Linked DNA regions of Oreochromis niloticus. The main gene of each other region encodes a partner of the protein of the gene in region 2 in a complex. Links are inferred from orthologs where the notes say so. Each region holds a gene or a part of one and is shown on either strand. Other genes may lie near its edges.

Evidence for each region.
Region 1: rbm22 (region 2) and bcas2 share a complex: the UniProt entries of both Homo sapiens proteins name them as parts of the postcatalytic spliceosome P complex. The link is inferred for Oreochromis niloticus from reciprocal best matches to the Homo sapiens genes RBM22 and BCAS2.

What each region holds. Positions count from the first base shown.
Region 1 is NC_031984.2:28,670,488-28,681,367, reverse strand, and holds the start of bcas2 (pre-mRNA-splicing factor SPF27), read right to left. Parts: upstream 4,919-10,880; 5' UTR 4,793-4,918; coding exon 4,700-4,792; intron 2,990-4,699; coding exon 2,897-2,989; intron 2,806-2,896; coding exon 2,735-2,805; intron 930-2,734; coding exon 768-929; intron 678-767; coding exon 627-677; intron 534-626; coding exon 453-533; intron 366-452; coding exon 239-365; 3' UTR 1-238. UniProt on the Homo sapiens protein: Required for pre-mRNA splicing as component of the activated spliceosome. Component of the PRP19-CDC5L complex that forms an integral part of the spliceosome and is required for activating pre-mRNA splicing.
Region 2 is NC_031966.2:25,334,242-25,345,265, reverse strand, and holds the start of rbm22 (pre-mRNA-splicing factor RBM22), read right to left. Parts: upstream 4,104-11,024; 5' UTR 4,005-4,103; coding exon 3,951-4,004; intron 2,810-3,950; coding exon 2,756-2,809; intron 2,643-2,755; coding exon 2,613-2,642; intron 2,480-2,612; coding exon 2,347-2,479; intron 2,237-2,346; coding exon 2,136-2,236; intron 1,973-2,135; coding exon 1,800-1,972; intron 1,661-1,799; coding exon 1,460-1,660; intron 599-1,459; coding exon 434-598; intron 60-433; coding exon 1-59. UniProt on the Homo sapiens protein: Required for pre-mRNA splicing as component of the activated spliceosome. Involved in the first step of pre-mRNA splicing.

The DNA of each region.
Region 1 (10,880 bases), on a different chromosome or scaffold from region 2:
AAACCAAGTGAGGCAACAAAAGCTGTTTTATTGTGTTCAACTTTCCGTTTGTGAAAAGATCATGTATTGTGTCTTGTTTTTACACTGGAATGAGGTGTACAGTGGTAAACTGTGTGCTGCAAATTGAGATTCGTGGGCGCATTGGTAACGCGGCAATAAAATTTCAGTCCTAAGGTTGCTTCTTAGTCCTGTTAGCCTCATGAGCCAAGATGGGATCTGACCAAGAGATCAGTAGCTCCTAAAAGTCCTGTCGGATGTTCTCCTTGTTTTCGTCTCCCTGCTGCTGCCGGAGTTGAGTGACTTCGTTTTCCAGCTGAACGATTGCCCGCTCGATCTCATAGTTCTTACTGACCAGTGACACCCAGCTGTTGAGGACACAAATACACATGTTAAAACAGAAGGGAAACTTCCACGCGTCAGTGATAAAAACATAAACTCTTCCAACTACATACTTAGACTCCAGCTCTCTGAGTTTGGCTCCTGCTCCCAACTGATCGTTCTTACGTTGCCAGTTCAAATCCTGAATTTGCTTCCTGTGTGGCAGAACAAACACACAAACAGGTAAATATTAAAACACGTTAAACACCGTGTTTTGGAACAAAAAAGTTTTGAGGCAATGAACTCACCTGAATTTGTGAAGTTCCTTTTGTGCCATCTCAATCATGAAGGCCAAGTTGCTGAAGAAAAAAAACAAACACGACACGTGTTAGCAGTATTTCCCCACAGACATCAACACTGTGCAGACTGGATCTCGAGACTGTACGCACTCGTTGTAGGCCTTCCATGCGTTGGTTCCATACTGCGACATGAGTTCCAGGTTCTCGATACGGACCGCCTGGTGCTCCAGCTGGGCCATCGAGTTGTTCACGCACTCCTGCCACGCTGTAATGTCATTCTTCTGTCCTGATGAGGGCGCCGGCAACTCATACCTCAATGAGGAAAACATTTATTAAAATACTGGTGATCAGCAGTGCTAAACCTCTGCCTAGTAATAATGGATTGCATTTACATAGCGCTTCTAGGCACCCAAAGCGCTTTACAATTCCACTATTCATTCACTCTCACATTCACACACTGGTGGAGGCAAGCTACAGTTGCAGCCACAGCTGCCCTGGGGCAGACTGACAGAAGCGAGGCTGCCATATCGCGCCATCGGCCCCTCTGGCCAACACCAGTAGGCGGTAGGGTAAAGTGTCTTGCCCAAGGACACAACGACCAGGACAGAGAGAGCAGGGGGATCGAACCAGCAACCTTCCGGTTACAGATGAGCTTCCCAATCCCCTGAGCCACGATATCAACACGCCGATGGTATCAACTTGAAAATCCTACATTGTTGTGTTCTTCAATTATCGCTCTCACAAAGTTTTCAGAAAACTTGACCTCTGAAGTTGAGGTTGAGGTCACCGAGAATTCGTCTGAGATTTTTTAGTAGATGCACCTATGGTATCGTCTGCAGCTGCTATTCTTTAGTTATTGCATTCACAAACTTAGGTGTCCACGCTGCCTGTCCGGGTGACGATAATACCCAATCAGCCTTTTACAGCAGAGGGTTAAACTTTAACATGCGAACCAATAAATCAGAAATGAAGGCAGAAGAAAAAGCAGAAAAATACAGTTACCACGCAGTATTCCAAATATGTTGGAATACTATCCACAATGTACATTTAGAAAAACAACAACAACAAGAGCTGAGTTAACTGGCCTGTCCGAAAATGTGGACATCATTTAAGTGCCACATAAAATGTTGAATTTCTATTTTTTTCTTTCTTTTTTTTTTAATGTGGTGCCAGAATCATGTATCATGTGCCATGTGACTTGAACAGTTGTGTAATTAAAGAAGGGGAGGGATATAGCTACTACTGAAAAAGCAAGTCATATAAAAACAGTTTTTTTTTTTTTCACAAGAATCTATGAAATCCTGTGAAAAACTAAGTACATCCATTCTGCTTCCATATGAATTATGACTGTAGCAGCCAGATCATGCCAATCAAATGTAATTTATTAACTGATCATCAGCACCTGTGAGCACCTCTTTAAAAGCTGAAGTTTTGTCAGTTTGTTATAACGATGCTACAGTCCTAGCAACTTGTAACACAAGGTCAGATCGTGAAATGCTCAGAGAAACTGCAAAATGACCAGGGACTACATCTCAGACTCTACAGGCCTCGATTAGCATGTTAAATGTTAAAGTTTATGACAGTAAAATTAGAAAAAGTTGCATTTGAACAAACCAAAACACTTCTGTAACAAAGTCTTTTGAACAGAAAACCAAACACAGCACATCAGCACAAGTGTCTCACATCAACTGTCAAGCACGGTGGATTTTTGCTTGTTTTGCAGCCACAGGGCCTGGGCATCTTGCAGTCACTGAGCTGACCATGAACACCTCTGTATACGAAAATATTCTTAAGTCAAATGTGACCAACAGCTGAAGCTTTGGACAAAAACTCACAGGACTGCACAACAGCAGATCAACAATTTAAGAACCACATTTTGCATCGTCCTTGACAAACTTTAAATGAATGGTTGTGATCTTTGGGCCCTGAGACTACACTGCATTAAAAACATAACTTTACAGTGTAAATCAGTGAATGGGTGAACAGCCTAGAAAGAACTTAGAAGCAGTGTAGTAGGTTGACGATATGAACTCATCTCTCTTCCTCTGTGACAAATAAGCAAAAAGCTCAACTTGCAGCTAAGCTACCACCAGGCTCTTACAGCTGGCAGGATTTACCTCTTCATACTCAGGAGCTCCATCGGCTGCCGAGCTGCCAACCGCTCAAATTCATTCCTCATTATTTCTGTCTGAAGGGGGTGAGAACAAAGAAGAAGTGCCGTTATTTCCTTGTCAACAGCTGAAACCACTAAGAAGGTTTTAAACTGATGAGTTCATCACCTCAAAAGCAGAGAAATCAGGAGTAGGCAGGTAGCTCAGGTAGTTTTTTGTAGGTCGGTATCTTCTCGTCTCTTCTTCGACCAACGCTGCTGCCTGAAGGAGGAAACAGGATTCGTGTTTGGCACGGGGAATATTTTGCAGCCACTGGGAAATTCACTTGAAATGAATTGCATTAGAGTTGCACAATTCACTTCTTGTTACTCGACCACTGAAACACTTTGAGGTTCAGCCTTTTAATTAGGAATTCATCAGTTTAGAAACTGTGGGCCAATATTTATTGGTTAAAAGGTACACTTCTCTTTTTTTCATAAACATGGAAAAATGAAACAGACCTTTAGCGCACATAACTTCTGATAACAGACTGGGACTAGTGAAAAATCAAACATTCCCATTGCTACCATATTAAAATATTCTACTGCAACAACTTTTGACAAATGCAATATTATTCTTGAGCATGAAGGAGATCAATGACTGGACAAGTACAGTCACTGAGTCATTGAGCTGCAAGTTGAGAGAAGAATTTGAGAAGAAAAATAAATGTTGCTGTAAAACTGTTCTAGTCTAATGGACTCCAACTTACAGCAAATCAAGAAAACATTAAATACCGCTCACATACTAAGAGGATAAAATCCAAACATAGGCAATAAACACCCTCATATTTTTGTCAGATTTAAGAAAAATCATCAAGTGCTGAATGAGTAACTGTTTTTTTGCCAAATGATGCTGCACACACTGCCGTGGGAGTGTCAGAGTGCTTTTTTGTTGTCAGCTCTCCTGTTATGCCACTTTGGTGTGACTGTTGCAATAGCTGCTCTTACTACAGACTGCAGAGCTGCATGACACAAACGGCAGTAATCTGTCTACCTTAGATGTGATGAGAGCAAACTGAGGATCCAGGGAAAATGTCTTGATCAGTGAAGTGTTTAGTAATGACTACGAAGAAATTATTGAAAACACTGACACAAATATATATCAATGTGCAAAAGTCTTGAGCTACCCCTCATTTGTTTCTTGGTCATTTTTTTAAAAGTTGTCTGAAGCAACAGCTCTCAGGCTTTGTGAAGATCTTTCAAACGTTTTCTTTGGACACGGGCTGCTTTCTCACTAGTTTTCAGTGAGAAAACCCAACTTAAATTGTATCTTTAGATACTTTGTCACCAGCAGCCTCTTACAATAACATCTAATTTTTCCCCCCATTTCTTTTGTTAAATCTACAAAATAAAAATAAAAAATACAAAGAAAAACCCCGATAGAATCCATAAAATACTGTTTTGGGTCAACAAGTTGATTGCCAAAGAGCTGTTAAATGGAAATTTCGTATTTCTCTGCCTGTTGTGAAATTTGAAGAAATTGAACAAAACAAGAAGTGGCAGACCTAAGAACCATCTACTGTATCTGAAAGTCATGTCTTTCAGAAATTAGAAAAATATAGCAGAGACCTGACACCGGACCTGAGATACACATCTGGACCATCATTTGACCCATCTACTGTTCACTTCACGAGAAATTATCTCAGTAGAAGGGTAGCTGTCAAGAACCAATTCTTAAAAATGAGAAAAGGGAAGAAATTATTCAATGAATCTATACATCTATTTCGCTTTTTTATCTAATAAAATATAAAGAAGGGGTTTTTCAAGATTTCATTTAATCTACATAATAAAGACACTGTCCTGACATGCGTCTGGTTAACAGAGCACATTACCCAGCTTCAGAAATCAAACTTATAGTGTCCGCTGAAACATTGCAGTGTGGCATGTAGCATGGTTAGCTAACACGCTGTGGTTGAACTGCCCGTTTACTCACCGCTTCTCTCACACCTGCCGCATCGTAACCTTGGTCGAAATATGGCAGAGCATCTACAAACACTTCTCCAGCTACTGAAGCCGTCCCGGCCATTTTTAATCAGTCTATATATCGTTCACTTTATTGAATTGTCTCGCTTTCTGCTAAATAAACTCAAAACCCAAGTGTCCCTTTTCTTCTTCGTTAATTTTCGCTTCTTCTTTGAATCTGTGCTTTAGCGCCACCGCATGGTTTGGAGTGTTTATCTTAATGTTTCTTCTTTGAAGCGTGGAGCATAGCGCACATCGAAATAAAGCATGCCATGAATTCATAATTGAATCTGCAATAAAACATTAATTATTAAATTCCTTTTTTAATGTTCTCTTTTAATTTGTTGTGGATTTTTAATTTGTTGCGGTTTTTTATTTTGTTGTGGATTTTTAATTTGTTGCGGTTTTTTAATTTCTTGCGGATTTTTAATTTCTTGCGCTTTGCACTTCCCAGCCACCGTAATTAACAAAGTAATTCATTATTTGATCAATCAATAGACATTAAAAATACATATTTTCTACAAACTATTAATACATATGAAATATCTCTAACTGAAAAAGGGTTTACAGACAAATATATGAAATACTTATTAAAAAAACAGCTTGAAATTAAAAATGTAAAAACAGATTTTCAAAATAGTTTAAAAAATACAATTTAATAAGAGAAACAGGTCAATGGAGTTAAAAACTGAAAGACAAACCTTTCTGACATTTAAAATGATGATGCCATCCCTCATTTTTAATTCCATTTCTGTTCCTTAGCTATTGGATTGGCTATTGGATTAACTTCTCTATTTTGGAAACCCTGACCTCCTCAGCAGTATGTTGAGTCTAAACAATAAATCAATGATCTTATTATTATAGGATAATCTATTTGATTAGCTTCTCCATGTAACCTTTCCATGACTCTTTTGGTCTTTGTGAATAAAACAACGCCAATTAGCCATAGCAGAGTTGTGCAATCCTAACGTGACCCTACACAACTTGTTAGTACTCATATTATTTTACCAAACCTTTGATGCCTAAGCTTAAATGCTAGTTATTGCAACATACTGGACATTGATTGCTTACGTCCAACATACTGTGAAGTAAGAGTGGGATTTCCTCATTGGAGAGGGTAATCCAATAGCTAATAGGAAAAGAGAATGAATCGAAAAGGGAAACAAGCATTATTTTTGATTTCAGAAAAGTTTGTATTCCTAATTAAATTGAGGAATTCATTTACTTATTTCTATCTTACATTTTATTCTGTAAAAATTTGGAAAATCTGTTTTTAACATTTTAATTTGGAAATACTTTCTTAAATTAGTTTTTTATTGAGTGTTTCAATCTTTTGCTGTAAATTGCTTTTCATTTAGAAAGATTTACCTCCTGTTTTTATTGAACAATGAATTATCAAATAATAAATTGCTTTACTGATGCCTTAATAAATAGAATATATTAAAATGAATTTGTAAATTCATTTACTGGTGAATATTTTATTGGGCAATTAATTATTAATTCATGAAATGCTATAATAATGTGGGTGACTTTCAGTGGTGGTCCTAGCCTGTTTGGCGCCCTGGGCGAACACTCCCTCTGGCGAGTTTTAGCGAGGGACCACTGTAATTGTGAAGATAAGTCACAACATACCCTTCGTAAATACTAATATATAGAGACCCTTACCAGCAATCATTCATGTATTTTTTATATCCTGTGGCTTTTTTTCACGGTTTGTTGACATGCTGTGGAGGTGTGCACTTGACCAGCTGATATTTGGCTTTGACTCTTGTTAACCTGTAGTTTGAATACTGGACATTTCCCTCTTTAAATCATAAGAACTGTCACTATACAGAGATGTGCTTCTGAATGTGGATGATTCTGATTTTGTAATGCAGGTTTGCTTGTGTTGAGTAATGTAAACAACCAATCGATCTACACGCTTCAAACGTCAAAACTGATCATTTGATTTTTTTATGACACAGCAATGATGAGTGTTCCCACCTCCTGCTCTTTGTAACTTAACGCGATCTCTCCATTTTCCGTATTTTGGACATGATTTTGGAGTCCACCTTCGCAGTAGCGATTGACCGCAAAATAAAGTTACCGGAAATGTACAACCCTACATCCGGTCTTAAAACAGGAAGTTAGCGTTTTCTCGTGCACAGGGTCTATGCGGCCTTCAAATGCGTCCTTCATTTCCCTGGATTTTAAGGATGGGTCGGTGTAGACTTCATGGCCCAACATATCCCAGACTTCATAGCGCGGCGGTGGGTGTGGATAATTTTGCCGAAAAAAACGGCGGAAGCCGGGCGGCAAAACAGTAAACCTTTAAAAGTAAGTACTGAATATTATGTTACTTATTTATGTGCAAATGTTTAATAATGAAGAACATTAAAACATTAGCAATGTTAGTACTAACTTGGTTTTAAAGCCTTTACTTTAAAATATACGCCGCTCAATAGCCTTAATTTTACAGAGAATGTGATGATTTTATGGACAATTAAAGTCAGTCATATATCCACAAACACAACAAGCTGAAAGTCAGTGATGCTGCTCGGTTTGCAGTCCTGAATATCACGGCACAAGCAGGATTCACTGCACTGTTCATGTTAGCTGTGTGCTGCCTCTGTTCGGTGGAGTCGAGCCAAACGGACTTTAACGTGTGTTTGAACGAGGTGACGGTTCACTCGTTAAGCTGAAAGAAAGATGCTTTAATCACAGGAGTCACACATGTGTCCACTGCACCATCTGGGAACTCTTCTTGTTTAGCACTCGTAATAACACAAACACTAAATCCTCCTTCTCTTGTGCTGTTTTGTAGCAGTGTATACACCTGAGACTGTCACCTGTCTGTCTGTCCTGCACTCTTTCTGTTTCTTTCTCTCTGATTGTGGAATAAAAGTATGAACATGTATTTATAAGTTACACTTGTGTTTGAATCCTGCAGCTTATCACACATTTGATTTCCATGTGTGACAACTGCAAGTGTCCAGAGTGAGGACAGACTGAGGGACCCACTGCTGCACATCATCTGTGAGGCTTTGCACCCCTGATGATCCACCAGGACAAACTCAGCAGTGTGTGAGGAAGAGGAAGAGGAAGAGTCAGCAGCAGCTGACAGATGGAGAGTATAGACAGACTGTTCCCTGTTTGTGAAGGACTGCTAGGAAAGTTTAAAATAACTAATTGTCTGTCCTGAATCAGTCTTATTAGGTAATGTTCAAATAATTTGATCATTCCAGTGTTTTCAGTGTGGGAGAAAGTACTCAGGGCCTTTAAGTTAAACACTATGAAAGGCAGCAACAAGTTTAATATTCAGAAATCTGAAGTATGTATCAGCAGCAGAATGGAGCTAAAAATAAATGTCCATGTTTGTTTCAGTTCTATGAAGCTTTGAGTATTTTGGATTAGTAGTACTGCTGTGTTTGTTGCATCATATTGCTGTAATTGTTTATATGCTTTATATATTCTGAGGTAAGTTGATCTATAGTGTTACATCATATTCTATACTGTAAGGATGTTATGTGTTTGTATACTTTCTGCCCAGTTTGACCCATTTAGCAGAAGTCAGCCTGTTTAAGGCTCTGATATCTATTCTGTACGACTTACAGCAGTTATGACATGGTATGATTTTCTCACCCAATAAAGGAATATTTAATATATCAGTCTGATCTTCATTCTATCAGAAACGGTTATCACAGCTCGTACATTTTCTTTTTACACATATATGTAAGCATTGAGCCAAATTTAGTAATGCCAACATATTAAACTAACAATTGTCTCTTATATATAATACATCTATAGATACACTGTCAGAGATACTTGTCTTTGAGTGAAGATTTAAGGTGAAAGGAAATATAAATAACTGCAACTTGAATCTTTACTGAAGCTCAGTATTTAACACAGAGTTCAAGTTCACTGCTGTAATAACTAATAATGATTAATATAATAACTATAACATTGGCCATATTATATTTACATTACCAAAGTGAGATGACTTTAGTCTCATGAACAACATTAGCTAATTGTTATTTACTAGCTAACCTTAAAATAACTGTTCAGTACAGAAATGAAGCCCAACAATCATGTTTTACAGTCCTGTGGTCTCAGCCTCAGATACTTATTAAATCACACAGAGCTCATGTAGAAACAAACAAATGAACAAGATATGTTCTCCTTCATTTCTGTCAAACAAAGCTGTATGACACGTTTCCAGCGGTTAGTATCATGGTTGCTAGGCAACCTGGGCAGCGCGACGGAGGCTAGACCGTCCCATTTCACAAGCCTCGCACTTCCGGCCTTAGCGGTCTTTGGGTACGCGGCCCTTGAGGACCGTTAAGGCTGCGTACTTTAAGGCTGCAGACCCTGAATTGGGATACAACCACAGAGTGGCGATTTGTTTATCGGCTACTTTGCGCCAGAAAGAACATCAGCTGATACTACAAAGTAATATTAAATAAATTCTAACAACAGCTTATCAAGCTTGAACGTGCTGCTGTTGTTTAGCGCAACATCCGCTGGTTTCTGCTTTCTGGCGCAAAGTGGGCAATAAACAAGAGAGACGGCAGAAAAGCCGATCAGCTGATCAGTTTCATGATTGAAGTGGTAACAGGAGAGGGAGGGGGATAGAATGAGAGAAGAAAGGGCATTTGTGCAGCAAAGACACAGAATAACTCCAAGCTTTGTGTCTTTTTTTCATTCTAGCTGAAGTCCGGGACGAATCCCGTTCCTTTTCACCTCAATACGGATGTATTGTAATTGGTCCAGCCCAGAGTTCATCACGATCAAGTGGCTAATCCACCACACTTCATTGTTTATACCCTTACAAAAACAAACAAACATAAAAGTGAAAAATCAGCAATTTGGTATGCCCAATGGCCTGTCCAGCTGTGCGGTTAGCTGGTGGGTAACAGGCATCTCCAAAAACATTAGAGCACTTTTGCAAATATGTGAAGTCTTGATGAATTAAGCAGACATTTGAAGTTTACACAGCACCATTCTCGCATGAAAATATCTTAAAAGTTTATTTTGTGATCCAGAAAAAGTAATATTTACATACAGTTATTAAATTAAATAAAAATAACTACAGATAAGAGGCAAACCAGGTTGTAGTGCGAATCGGTTAATTAACTTATGGCAGTTACAGCGCAGATGTAAACATCTATGTTTGTTGGGAGCAGTTCTGATTGTACAGTCTGACAGCTGCGGGGAGGAAGGACCTGCGGAAACGCTCCTTCATGCATCTAGGATGCAGCAGTCTGTCACTGAAGGAGCTCTGCAGTTCAGCAACATTTACATGAATGGGGTGGGAGACTCTGTCCATCAGAGATGTTATTTTGGCATGAGTCCTTCTGTCTCCCACCACCTGCACTGGGTCCAGGGTGCATCCCAGAACAGAGCTGGCCTTCCTGATGAGTTTATCCAACCTCTTCCTCTCAGCTGCCGATAAACTGCTGCTTTGCACGCAGCAATGAATTTTGTTCACTCAAATTTAGCTTTTCTTCGCTCAAAATAAATTTCTTCTCAAAATGCAACACTTGCACCTGCAATTTTTTTTTACGTGGGCTCAGAATAGTGGCACAAAAATAACGCCATACACGTCTGCCATTAGGGAAGAAGGGAACGAAGAAAGTAAACTGGATGTCTGTAAAATTAACTAGAAACTTGTGAGGCGCTAAGGTATAAACACCTAAAGAAGATAGTCTCAAAAGGGAACACTAAGTTTCTAGTACCTGAGTAAAATTTATCACACTGCTTTTTTGTTTGTTTTCAATGAAGTGACCCAAATGCTTAAGCAAATTAAGGCCTGTTTCAAACATGAAAGGCAAGGGCATCAGGCCATGACGTCAGAAACTCTGACAGAATGTTCTTTGTGCGCGTTACCTATTTTCAATCAGCCAATAGGGAGCGTTGTTGTGGGCGGGGCTAGTTTCAAAGATGAAAGGCAAGAGAATCATGGGCTGACATCAAAGTCAACCCAAACCCATAAATAGCCAGGTGAAACCGCACACTGTCGCACGTTTCTTACTTACAGTCACGAGCGATTACTGGATGAACTTTTGTTCTGCTACCCTCAGTCTTATCTCAATATCGGATTCATTGTAACACCGTAGCTTTGTTCTGGAGCAGGAGAAGAAAGTCCTGGAGGAAGAAAATAAGAAAGTCCTGGA
Region 2 (11,024 bases):
TGGTACCCATCTCACTGACACCATCTTTGATTCCCTCCTTTCCTCTTGCTGCCTGGGACCTAAATGGGCACACAGCACAAGTCAGACAATGACTAATGATACTGCAACATTCACCATCCAGGAGAAACAATTTTAAGCCTCATGCCTTGCATAATTTGATTAAACTCTTTCTACATTTACATTTTGAGTCGAGCATTGTGTCAGGGCGTTACCTTTAAACATGGCAAATGATCACTTTTAAAATTTACATCTTCACCTAAATGGCTCTCCTTGATGGGGGTTTATGGGGGTTAAGCTTAAAAGAATCAAATTGCAAAATGATGTTTTGTAATGCACATTGTTATGAGCCCTCTTTAATGGATTCATTACCTTCTGGTGTTGCTCTTAATATTCACAAAGCTGGACAATGTTTAACTTTTGATCGGATTCTTACCTTCCCCACTTGACGGTGAGTCTTCGTCCGTTAATAATGAGTTTGTTGAAGGACTTTTCAGCAGCCGTTTCAGCCGACTGCCGCGTGGCAAACTGGATGAAAGCGCACTGCTGCCTTTGGACTATGGTAATGGTTCGGATTTCACCAAACTGGTAGAAGTGACTCCTGCAATGACACAGATAAGAGATCATCATACACAAAATAGTGAAATAAAAATATTGCAACACAGCAAAATTTACAAAGTAAGTAGAAATAACAATATCCGCTTGTGGCTGTAACCCTCTAGCTGGCAACAACAGCTGTCTAGCCTAATAATACATGTAGCGGAAGCTTTAGAAGAGTTTATTAGGCAGGCACGAAAGATTAGTGTCACCAATTTAGAATCTGACCAAACGTGACATATGACCACAATCTCTTCTTCTTTTCCTGAATTATTTCTTTGAGTAACAGTCAGCAAATTGCTCTCGTAGAACATCCCATCAGCATTTTGTATTACTGGCAAACGCCCTTGCTATGCATCGCGGAGAAGGAACAAATGTACATATGCTACGATCATTACAGTGTAATGCTATGATACATTATATTGTGACAACATTCTATTCTGACACTGCACCGCTCAATTGAACTGTCAAATGTACAACAATAAACGACTGTGGGATTTCTATAAAATACTCCTATAGGCCATACAAATGTTGGCACTCACAGTGCCCTAGGCAATGTTTATACAAAGTTTCATCAAGATTGCTACACTTGTGTTGGAGGCGATAAGGAGCATACAAAGATACATACGCTATGATCATTTTAGTATAATTAGACATTTGTATTTTGTATTATTCTAACCAGCTCATCTTTGTTTGTGCCACATTTAAATAGAGATGAGAGAGATAAGATAGGAATGGAACAGATGGATGAACAGACAGCCAAAAACACAATGCCTCCAGCCACGGCTGTCCCGGGTATCGAGGCATAACAATAAATTATCACAGCAAGCTGTAAAAGAGGTCATTATGAAGCAGAAATGCTTACTTGAGGTCTCCATCTGTAACAGTGTCTCCCAACCCCCCGATGTAGAGAGTGGTGATGGATTTGTCCTCTGGTGGGTCCAGTCGGGGCATAGTTGAAGCCCGCTTTAGCAACTTGTCAGCCACTGGGTCATTGATGCCATAGTAACGATCCTTTATGTTTTGGTCTGCTAGAGGGTCATCAGGATCTGTGGGCTTCTCGTGCCTGTGTAAAGAGGGCAACCGAAAAACAATAAATATAATATGACACTTCAACTAACCCATAGCGATGTCTTAATATATGTGAGGTGATATTAAAAGAAAGAAACAATCGGCTCCATGGAGACTAGCATCATGGCACTCACCTGTAGGGACATTCCTCCCCTCTCTTACACTCTCCCTTCACCCAGAAGGAGCAGATGTGTGGCCGGTTCCTCTTGTAATATGGTGTGGTCCGAGCCAACTTCAGCAACATATCACTAGAACTTGGAGCCTTACCAAGCTGGCCCACTGGCCGAGTGCCATCGGAATTGGCTATCTGTAAACAAAAAAGTCCAGAGAGGCATGATGGATGGAAAATCTCTCTCTTATGTTTGCTTAAAAAACATTGGATCAGACATTGGACCAGTAAATACTGTTATCACTGTGCAAGCATACTGCAGTCATGAGAAAGGAGCTTTTTTTTTTTTTTTTTTTTTTACCTCTCTCTCCATGTTCTGTGTGTAGTACTCTTTATTCACATCTGACCGAGGAACCTCATCTTTAACGGAGAGTCCAGTGTCTCGGACTTGGATAGGCAAACCTGTCAAACACAAGAGATGGCAGGAGGGTTACGCTCAGAACTACATAAATGAGGGGCTCATGAAATCTGCACAGCGACAAAACCCAGAGGAGCTGGTCCGAGAGACTCACCATACTCCAGGTCCAGCAGACATGTCTGACAAACATTTTTCATTTTACTGCAGGTCTGACAGACTTCTGTCTTCTTGAAACGCATACGTGTTCCTGGACACCATCGGAACACGGTAAAGGGCCGAGCACAGATCTGATAGGCGGAGAGCAACGTATTAGAATAGAATAGTTCTTTATTGTCATTGTACATGCATCAAACAGGCCTGTATACTGTGGGCAATTTATAATTTAAACAGTTAACACGAAAGAAAGAAAAAAAACCATACCTTGCATTCTTTCCCATATTTTTCCTTGGTCTGTAAAACAAAGCATGAACATATTTGGACTTGCACATTTGCTGATATTAACACTACACAAAGTGTTAAAACAGTCTTGAATTTGCTATGAAGACACAGGGATACTCACTCACCATACGAATGTAAGGATTTTCTCCTAAACATGTCTGACACAAAATCGGAAAATCCTGAGGAGAAAGAAGAACTGTGAAAATCAAGCACTGTAATCCGGTTTATCCAACAATCCCTTGAATTAAGTTATTCAACAGACCAACTTGGCTCTCCATCTCTGCTTCACCTTCCTTCTGCTGTGAGCACCTTGGCACACGTACAGGTAAGAGTGAATACAGGGAGCGCTATGGGTCCTATTTTGCCATCTGTTAAAGGATGCTGTTTCAGTCCGAGTGCTGGGTGCTGAAAACGGCCTTGCCCTAATCCGTCTCCCAGACAGCATCAGCCAAACATCTAAATATAAGCAGATCTTATGGCTGAAGCGTCATCTACATAATCTAGGGTTGCAAAGTTTAGTCTAGTGTCTTAACAAAACTAACATTGGATAAATGTCCTGTGGTGTCATAGCTCAATTAGGGAAAGTGATTTGTTGCCTTATAGGGTAAATAATCTTTAGGTAGGTCACAAACATGTTTTGTGTTTCCTTTATAAGTAATTAAGGACTGGTCTATTTGTGACCTTATATAACAATCACTGTTGAAATAGTGCCCAGCAGTGTAAAGACTATTTTTATAGACTAAATTTTCTCTAACATTTTCACAACACCGCTGTCAAACCTGCCTAACAAGAAGGTTTGGTTTTTCAATGTCACTTTGCTTATGCGACTTTACAAAACAGTGGTGCCACCCCGGACTGTGTGGCTTTTTCGGTTTCTTATATTCATTTATATAAGCAAACTTTCACCCGCCTACCATCGTTTTAGCATTGTTAGCCTGCTAGTGCTGGCCTTCATAGGTGTAGCCAGTTAACTATCACACAGCCCAGGATTAAATTACGTTAGCAATGATAGCTGTGAGCTCAGTCGCTGTTGTTTTTACTACAACCTAAAAATATGCTCTAGTTGGATCCAGCGGAAACAGGTACGTTTCATGAACTAACGTAAAATATCGTAAGCAACGATGTATACAGGTGAGCTATTGAAGCTAGCAGCCACGCTTCTACAACTAGCTACCGCTAGCTAGCGGAAGGCTAACTACCAAGAGAACTGAATAGTTTAGTAAAAAGCTAGCGTGTTTCCCGATTATATTTACTCATAAAATGTAACTTAACATCAGTCACTGGAACCACTCGGTAACATATAACCCCGATAAAACGTACCGCGTCTTCCCAGTTCTGTCTGTTGTAAGTGTTGGAGCCTAGGGAAGTCGCCATTTTGCTGACTGTGGAGCAACCGGAACGGGTTGCCAGGTCTCTGCGTCAAAAACCACCCCAATAGCCAATCAAAACTGGCGCCCACAGCAGCCAAAGCTGGTAGCGGTACAGGCAGCGGTCGGCAGAGAGTACCTGTACGTGGATGACATGTGAGCTAGACTCGGTTTGCTGGGATATGTAAACATGTATGTAACTACATATTAATATATGAATTGTTTCATTTCAAAAATGAGTTTGTATTTATAGATGTACATGGAAGCTCCTTCGAAAAGAGTCTACTTAACCAATAATTTGTACTCAACCCGCCGGGGGGGGTAATGCAGCATTTTAACCTTAGCCCAGTTACGGGAAAACTGCAGAACTGGCAACCCTGCAGATCTCGCTGTACACTTGGCGAAAATTTTTAAAGTGACTACTGTTTTTACTTTTAGGTTTGAGTCTAGATTAAGATGTGTTCTATCAGGACTCAGTTTGAGGATGAGTTTAGTTTAGCGGGATGTGGGAATCTTGTGTAGTCTGCGAGACTACAAAAGCCCATAATGCACCTCGGGCCAGATAGCCACGTTTCACCTAAGGATGTCGCTCTATTTCAAGAAACTATCAGGTTTACGATAAAATAAAATAGGAACGTAAATATCAGAGAATAACTGTGAGCATTGTAGAAATACTAACCGTGACTCGTCCATCTGCACCTTGGGTGTAAACCTGAGTGTGTTTTTGCTTTTCCCTTTGGCTCTATGACACGAACTGTTAATTGGGACAGTGTACAATAATAATTTACCTCAAAAACATAAAACGCAACTGGTGTTTTTGAGTAAGTCTTAAAAGTCAGTGACCTAATATGATATCGCTTACAACCTGTGGGGAGGTTTAGAATGACTTTAATGCTTTATTTGCTTAACTGAGGTGCTGATACAGAGATATTTGTTGTAAACAAAGGCTGCAAAGTGCTATTTCCGGAGACAGGGAAAAACAGAAGACAGACAGACTGCTTGGCTGATGTGTGAGAGCTTGTGTAAGCCAATTGTGTCCTCGACACACACACACACACACACACATAGTTTGTCTGTCCACCTGCTCTGATTCAGGTCAGGGTGTCTTTGCGGTGTGAAACTCCAATTAGTGGGCCAAAGGATGTTGAAGATTACAGATGGCAACTAAGTCCCTAATGTTTATTTAAGGTCAGAGCGAGGTTGTGGAGTCAGAGGGCAGGGATTAGATGGAGGTCTGGAGCACTGGCAGCATGCAGCTGCCCTTCAGCAAGTCAAGATGAAGCGTCTGGGATTCTTTATGGCCACCTCCGAGTGGAAAATCCCCATGTTGTCCTTTTCCTTTTGATCTCTTACTTAGATTTAGGATTTCAAGTATAAACTGGTTGAATTCTATGAGATAGGTGGCTCCATTCATTAATGATTGAGGGTTTGAGTAATCATATTTACATAATAGGGGAGCAGATGGAAATTTCCACTGGCCTTCTCCTGTTGTTTTCCTTCAAATGGGGTGAACAGGCAGTCTCTTGCCCTATAGCACAACAAAGCAAACCTTTTGGGCACAGCCCTTTTGTCCTAATGAGTTTTCTGACCCTTTCTCCTTGATCACGTGAGCCAAAGTTGTTTTGAAGGACGGCTTTGTCTCGGATTTAGCCGGCCTGTAATTAAAATCACCAACCGCAAGAGTTACAAGGTCAGAGGACGTGTAGGTGTGCTGCCGCATCTCAGATGCTTCGTGTTACAGAGCCGCTTCAAGGAATCATCGCCTTGGTACTGTGTGAATCTGTTTGGCACATGACATGACAGACATTTGGTTGTTATTTAGGCTATTTTGGACCATTGTCACCAGTTTTATTGCACATGATTCAAAGATATTGATGTTTGCTGTGAAATGTTTTGTATTATTAAGCATTACTAAGAATATGGTTGCAATTACAAGTATTCTATTAGACATACCCTTCACAAGATAATGAAAATACTGTAGGTTGAAAGGATAACTGTAGTAATGCAGTGATAAAGCCACTATGACTCAACACTGTGTAAGTGATTCTTATAAGGAAACAGAGACTGATGCAAAACCGGTTAAATGACCTAAATGTTGGCTCCTTGTTGCGCACAGCATTGCTTTCCCTCAACTACCCCTTTGCCTAAAAAATATCTAAAACTTTTAAGTGCAATTTTAAATAGTTTTCGACAAACGTGGAAGCACAAGAAGACAAATAATCTCCGCATTGTCGAGCAGGGACGCTCCCGCAGTAATCTCCTGCAGGAACAAGATCGCACAGTGATTTCTTTGAGGAGTTCTGTAGCTTGCATGCATGCGCATATCAGAGGGAGGAAAAATGCGCCGCGCTGGCGCCTCCTGACGACAGTTATGGGCTACTGCCTGTGCACAGAGCTGCAGAAGAGAGGGTCTTTCTCACATTTCCCGATTTCTCCCAGCCGAGTCCGCTCTGCCCGCTTCCACATCACGGCCGACAGCAAACCGAGACGACGTGAGACCGGCGCGCTTAAATCACCACATTCAACCCGGCCGGCCTCGTGTGCACAACATCCGTGCGTCGTCACACACGGACAAGGTGAGTGAAAATCGACACGACCGCACGGAGCGTCGCGGTGTTTTTGCTTGTATTTGGTAGGCGACCGAAAGCGTCGTCGCTCGGTCTCCCCAGGCCAGGCTAGTTGTCTGGCGCAGACGGAGATGAGGCCAGTTTTTTTTTTCCGGCCTGATCTCCCTCTCTTTCTCTCTGCCCACTAGCTGGGAACATAAAGCCCCGGCGTTGTTATTATGGTGGCGGCCCCTCGGCACAGATTTCACGCTCGTCCACGTAGCAGCGGAGATCGAGGCGCTAACGTTATTGTCGTGGAGCGGGTCGGGTGGAAGTTTGTGTTCAGGATAGAGCCGCTCCGTGATTTTCACGGGAATTCCTTTATCGAGTGGGACCCGGCGGCACAGCTCGGCACCGAGCAGAACTGCTTTCTGCAACTTTGTGGCTCAGTGTGTACGGTGTTAAGAAATTATCGCCCTCCCATAAGTTTGCACTATCCGGCCGCAGTGTTAACAGCAGACCTGTTACAGTGCTGTGGTTAAAAAGGCGAATGATAGTGTGCGTAAAATAAAAACAGATTTATGCGAGTGTCTGCTGCGCGTGGAAGAGGCGGACAAAAGATTAGCACGGGAGTGTAACTAGTGCTTTAATATGACTTCATTTGATTTAGATGATCATATTTTTTCTTGAAATTTGCTCGTAAAAAGCTGCTATTATGGGATGTATCAGATACCTGTAGGAGTCATCTAAATGCTGGTGTTTGTTTATGTATTTTTCTAATTTACTAACTGTTTACAACTAATAATGTGAAGCTGATTAGGTCAAATTATTAACCAGATGAGGTTTTTTTTTATTCTGAGAAAGTGGGACATTTTCAAGTGCACGAGAGAGGCACCCGGTTCTGATATGTTTACATGTGGCTTGGTGGTTGTTGTAAAAGGGCTCCAGCCATGCACAGAAGGAAGGCTCAGATACGATTTGTGTCTTCTCTCTGTGAGCCTGCTTTGTTGCTCTTGTCTGGCGTAAAATAGAGCAAATGCATGCCTCCACCAAGCACCGCATCCGTTAAAAACTATAAAGACTTAAAAAAAAAAAAAGAAAAGAGAAAAAAGGGGGGGTTGGCAGTCCAGACCTGCCTGAAATCTGTTGCCTTGGGGCGTTGGAGCATGGAAGTGTGCACCTCAAGTGACTAAGAGATTACTAAAGAACAGTGACTCACGCTCAGAATGTATTTGGCAAAGTCACAAGGACTTTCCCTGCATTTCCCCTCAGCTGCAGAGCAAATTTTTGCAAGTGAAAAGCGGTGCCCTGCTGATTTTTATGTATCAAGAGATTCATTTGACCATAGCTTCACTTTTTTTTCTTTTCCTTTTTTGCTATTCCCAAGCCATGTGTTGTTTATCAAATGTCCCACCCTGCATCTGTGGAGAGAGAGAGAGAAAAAAAAGTGGGGCTTATTCCATTTGCAGATTATATTTTTTAAGGAGTGAGGTTGCTGTCATTTGTTTGTCAAAATTTTGTGGAAAGCCGGATCCTAAGTTGTGTTCTATTTATCCGTGCCAACTGTTTGTCTGGTTGTTCTAACCCTCCATCTGACTGCTCCCACTGGCTGCCAACCATGCTGTGATCTAGCGCTTTCGGCTGATGAAGGCTGCCACTGCTGCCGCATCCATTTGATCATATATCAACATCTTTTCACTTAGATATACCTGTGAAACGGCACGGCAGGGCTACAATGCCTACACACGCGCACACACACATACACAGGTTGATAAAATAGCGCGGGTATGATGCTGTATGACAGATCGCGTCACCGAGGCGCGTCTTGAGCGTTTATCAGAATGAGGCATGATCACAGGCTGTATGTCATTGTTGATTTTAAGGTTTTAACAGGGAACAGAGGGAGATCGGCTGTCGATCAGAGGCTCCAGCCCTTCGTTGTTGCTTATCTCCTTGTAGAGGCGGATGTAAATTTAATTGTATGCAGTAACTATCATCACATTTAAAGCTACGCGCAGTAATTGTTGGGAGCTGCAGGGCCCAACAACTTGCCAGCGCTTGTATTTTTCCATGTCACTGCTCCTTGTAGCTCCACTCTGTGTGTGGGGGGCAGACCTCTCTTTAGTGTGAGGCTGAAGCCAGGCATCTTTCCAAACTCAACTCCCCCCTCAACAACCCTCAACCTTCTCTGCTGGTTATAAGCACTGCTTTGTGCCACAGAGCTGCTCCCTATGGTTTTTATTCACATATTACTACAACACCACTAGCTCCACAAGATACTGGAATCTGCAATTGGACGTAAACCCAGCTAGAGCCTGCTGTCTGACAGACAAAGTCAGATGTTTCCTCATTAAAATGAAGCCTTTGGATTAATAAGCCAGAGTTCGAGAGGCAGATTGCGCCACTGTTGCCTCTATAAAGTAGATTGCGTTTATGTGTCTTTTCTGTCCCGGAATGTGGAGGTGGCATTTTGGGGCTTAGGCTGGGCTACCATGAGACGTATTGGAGAGCAGGAGCAAAGTAAATACATTTCAGACAGCGCAGCACAACTGGGTATTAGCAAATGATCCGATAGCATCTGTAATCCTCGGGAAAACCTGGAGAGTTGTCTTTGAATGGCGCTAGCGTCCATCCAGACAGTTGGCAGGCGGTAGGGGTGTCCACATGTGCGAGTGGCTGGCTAGGCTAGCTGAATGCTACAGTATGCAGGCAGATCAGATTACTGAACGATTAGCCATGGCCTCCCATCCCCGGCCCGGGGAAATGATTTTCCACTGTCATAATTCCCTAGACTGAATTACGCAGGCCAGTGGCTCAGAGATACTCTGTACTACTGGCCTGAGTACCGCATGGTATAACTGTTGCTCTCTGGGGAGGGGAGATATATTGTGACCCTCGTTGTGCCAGAGCACAAAATTGTTTTGTTTTGTTTTGGGTTTTTTTTTTCTATTTGAATTTCATTATGAGCCCTGGGACCTGCTTTCATGCACAGATGGCAGTGTGACCTGGCTTCAACTTTGGTTGCACAAAAGGTGGAGTTCAGCGTGGTGTTTACTCTTTAGCTGGCAGTGTGACGCAAAGGAGGAAAACTGCCCTCAATACAATGAACTGTTCCTCTATTGTGATGCGTACTAGGCTGATCGGCGATGAGGCAGTGCGAATCAAGCAGGCCTCTAGTGGAATTTTACTGAATGGAAAGCAGAGGGGGCTGGGGGAGGAGGGTGGAAGAGAGAGTAGCTGGTGGAGGTAGGACCATGTTTCCGAGGTGCATACCCCCTGAGGCAGGAATCCGATACATTCCAGAGGATCCTGTATCCAGACGAATAATGGTAACTGGGGTGTTGTGTTTCATCAAATGACACATGACTGGAGTGTAAGTGCTGGGAAATTAAGACCTATGTCATGGGCTTCGAGGTAGCCGGCTCTGGTTGCCTGAGGGGTCAGAATGTATGCCAGAAAAGCAAGACAGGTCATGAGATATGGCAGGGAGCAGGGTTTTTTTTTTTTTAAATCACACCCATTTCCCCTTACCACTGCTAAGATAGAGACATTTACATCTCTTTAGGCCATTTAGTTGACACGCTCATCCAGAAAAAGATACAATGAATGACGTAGTAGGAAAAACATCAGTTGTCTTTAGTACATTAAACTCAATTGTGCTCTGATTAGGCCCACAGCGGGAGTTATACTGAACAAAGATTGGCTGTTAAATTGCTTCTAATGAATAACAAAAGAGCCTCGCTTGGCTACCCTCTGTATAAATTTTGATAAGAAGCTGTTTCTAAGGTCCACTGGCTTCTGAATATTGCGTGACCTTGCTCTTCGTATGGGTTTTTACATCTTCACTTTCCTCCAGATCAACACCACTAAATCAATGGGTTTAATTTTCTACTTCGAGTGGAGAGTTTTCGTGCTCTCCAGCCCCTAAGCTAAAGGCTATTTATACTGCAGACAGAGAAAAAGTATCTTGTTTTATTTAGTGGTCAAAAAACAAGCTGTCGGGTGTTAATGGACTTCACCTCAGCCTTTCCGGTGGACCCTCGGGGTACTGCGCGTTCGTACGCTCGGCTAGGGAGCTCTCGGCACCGGCCTGTTAATGAAGCCATTTTCAGAGATGGAGAGATGCCGTAATGGGAACGCACCACTTCACCGCCGGATATTTTAACCCCCCCGTCCTCATCATAAGTGCTATCAGTCATCGGATATGATTAGATTTTTTTCCCTCCTTTGTCCATTTAGATGTTTGCTTTGCTCTTTTTTTCCAACTGAGTTAGAGATCTGTCAGTGATTTGTCTCTGTGTTACTTTAAGAAATGCTTTTAACGCATCCAGGTATTTTAAATTTTAAGCCTGTCATACATTTTACACTAGAAATCAATGATGATTATATTTTGAACTATAGGTTTGGTGCTTAAAGCTCATTTACATGAACTTTGAGGGGAGATAGGTAACGGTAGTTGCCATGGTGGTGGAGGCGGGGAT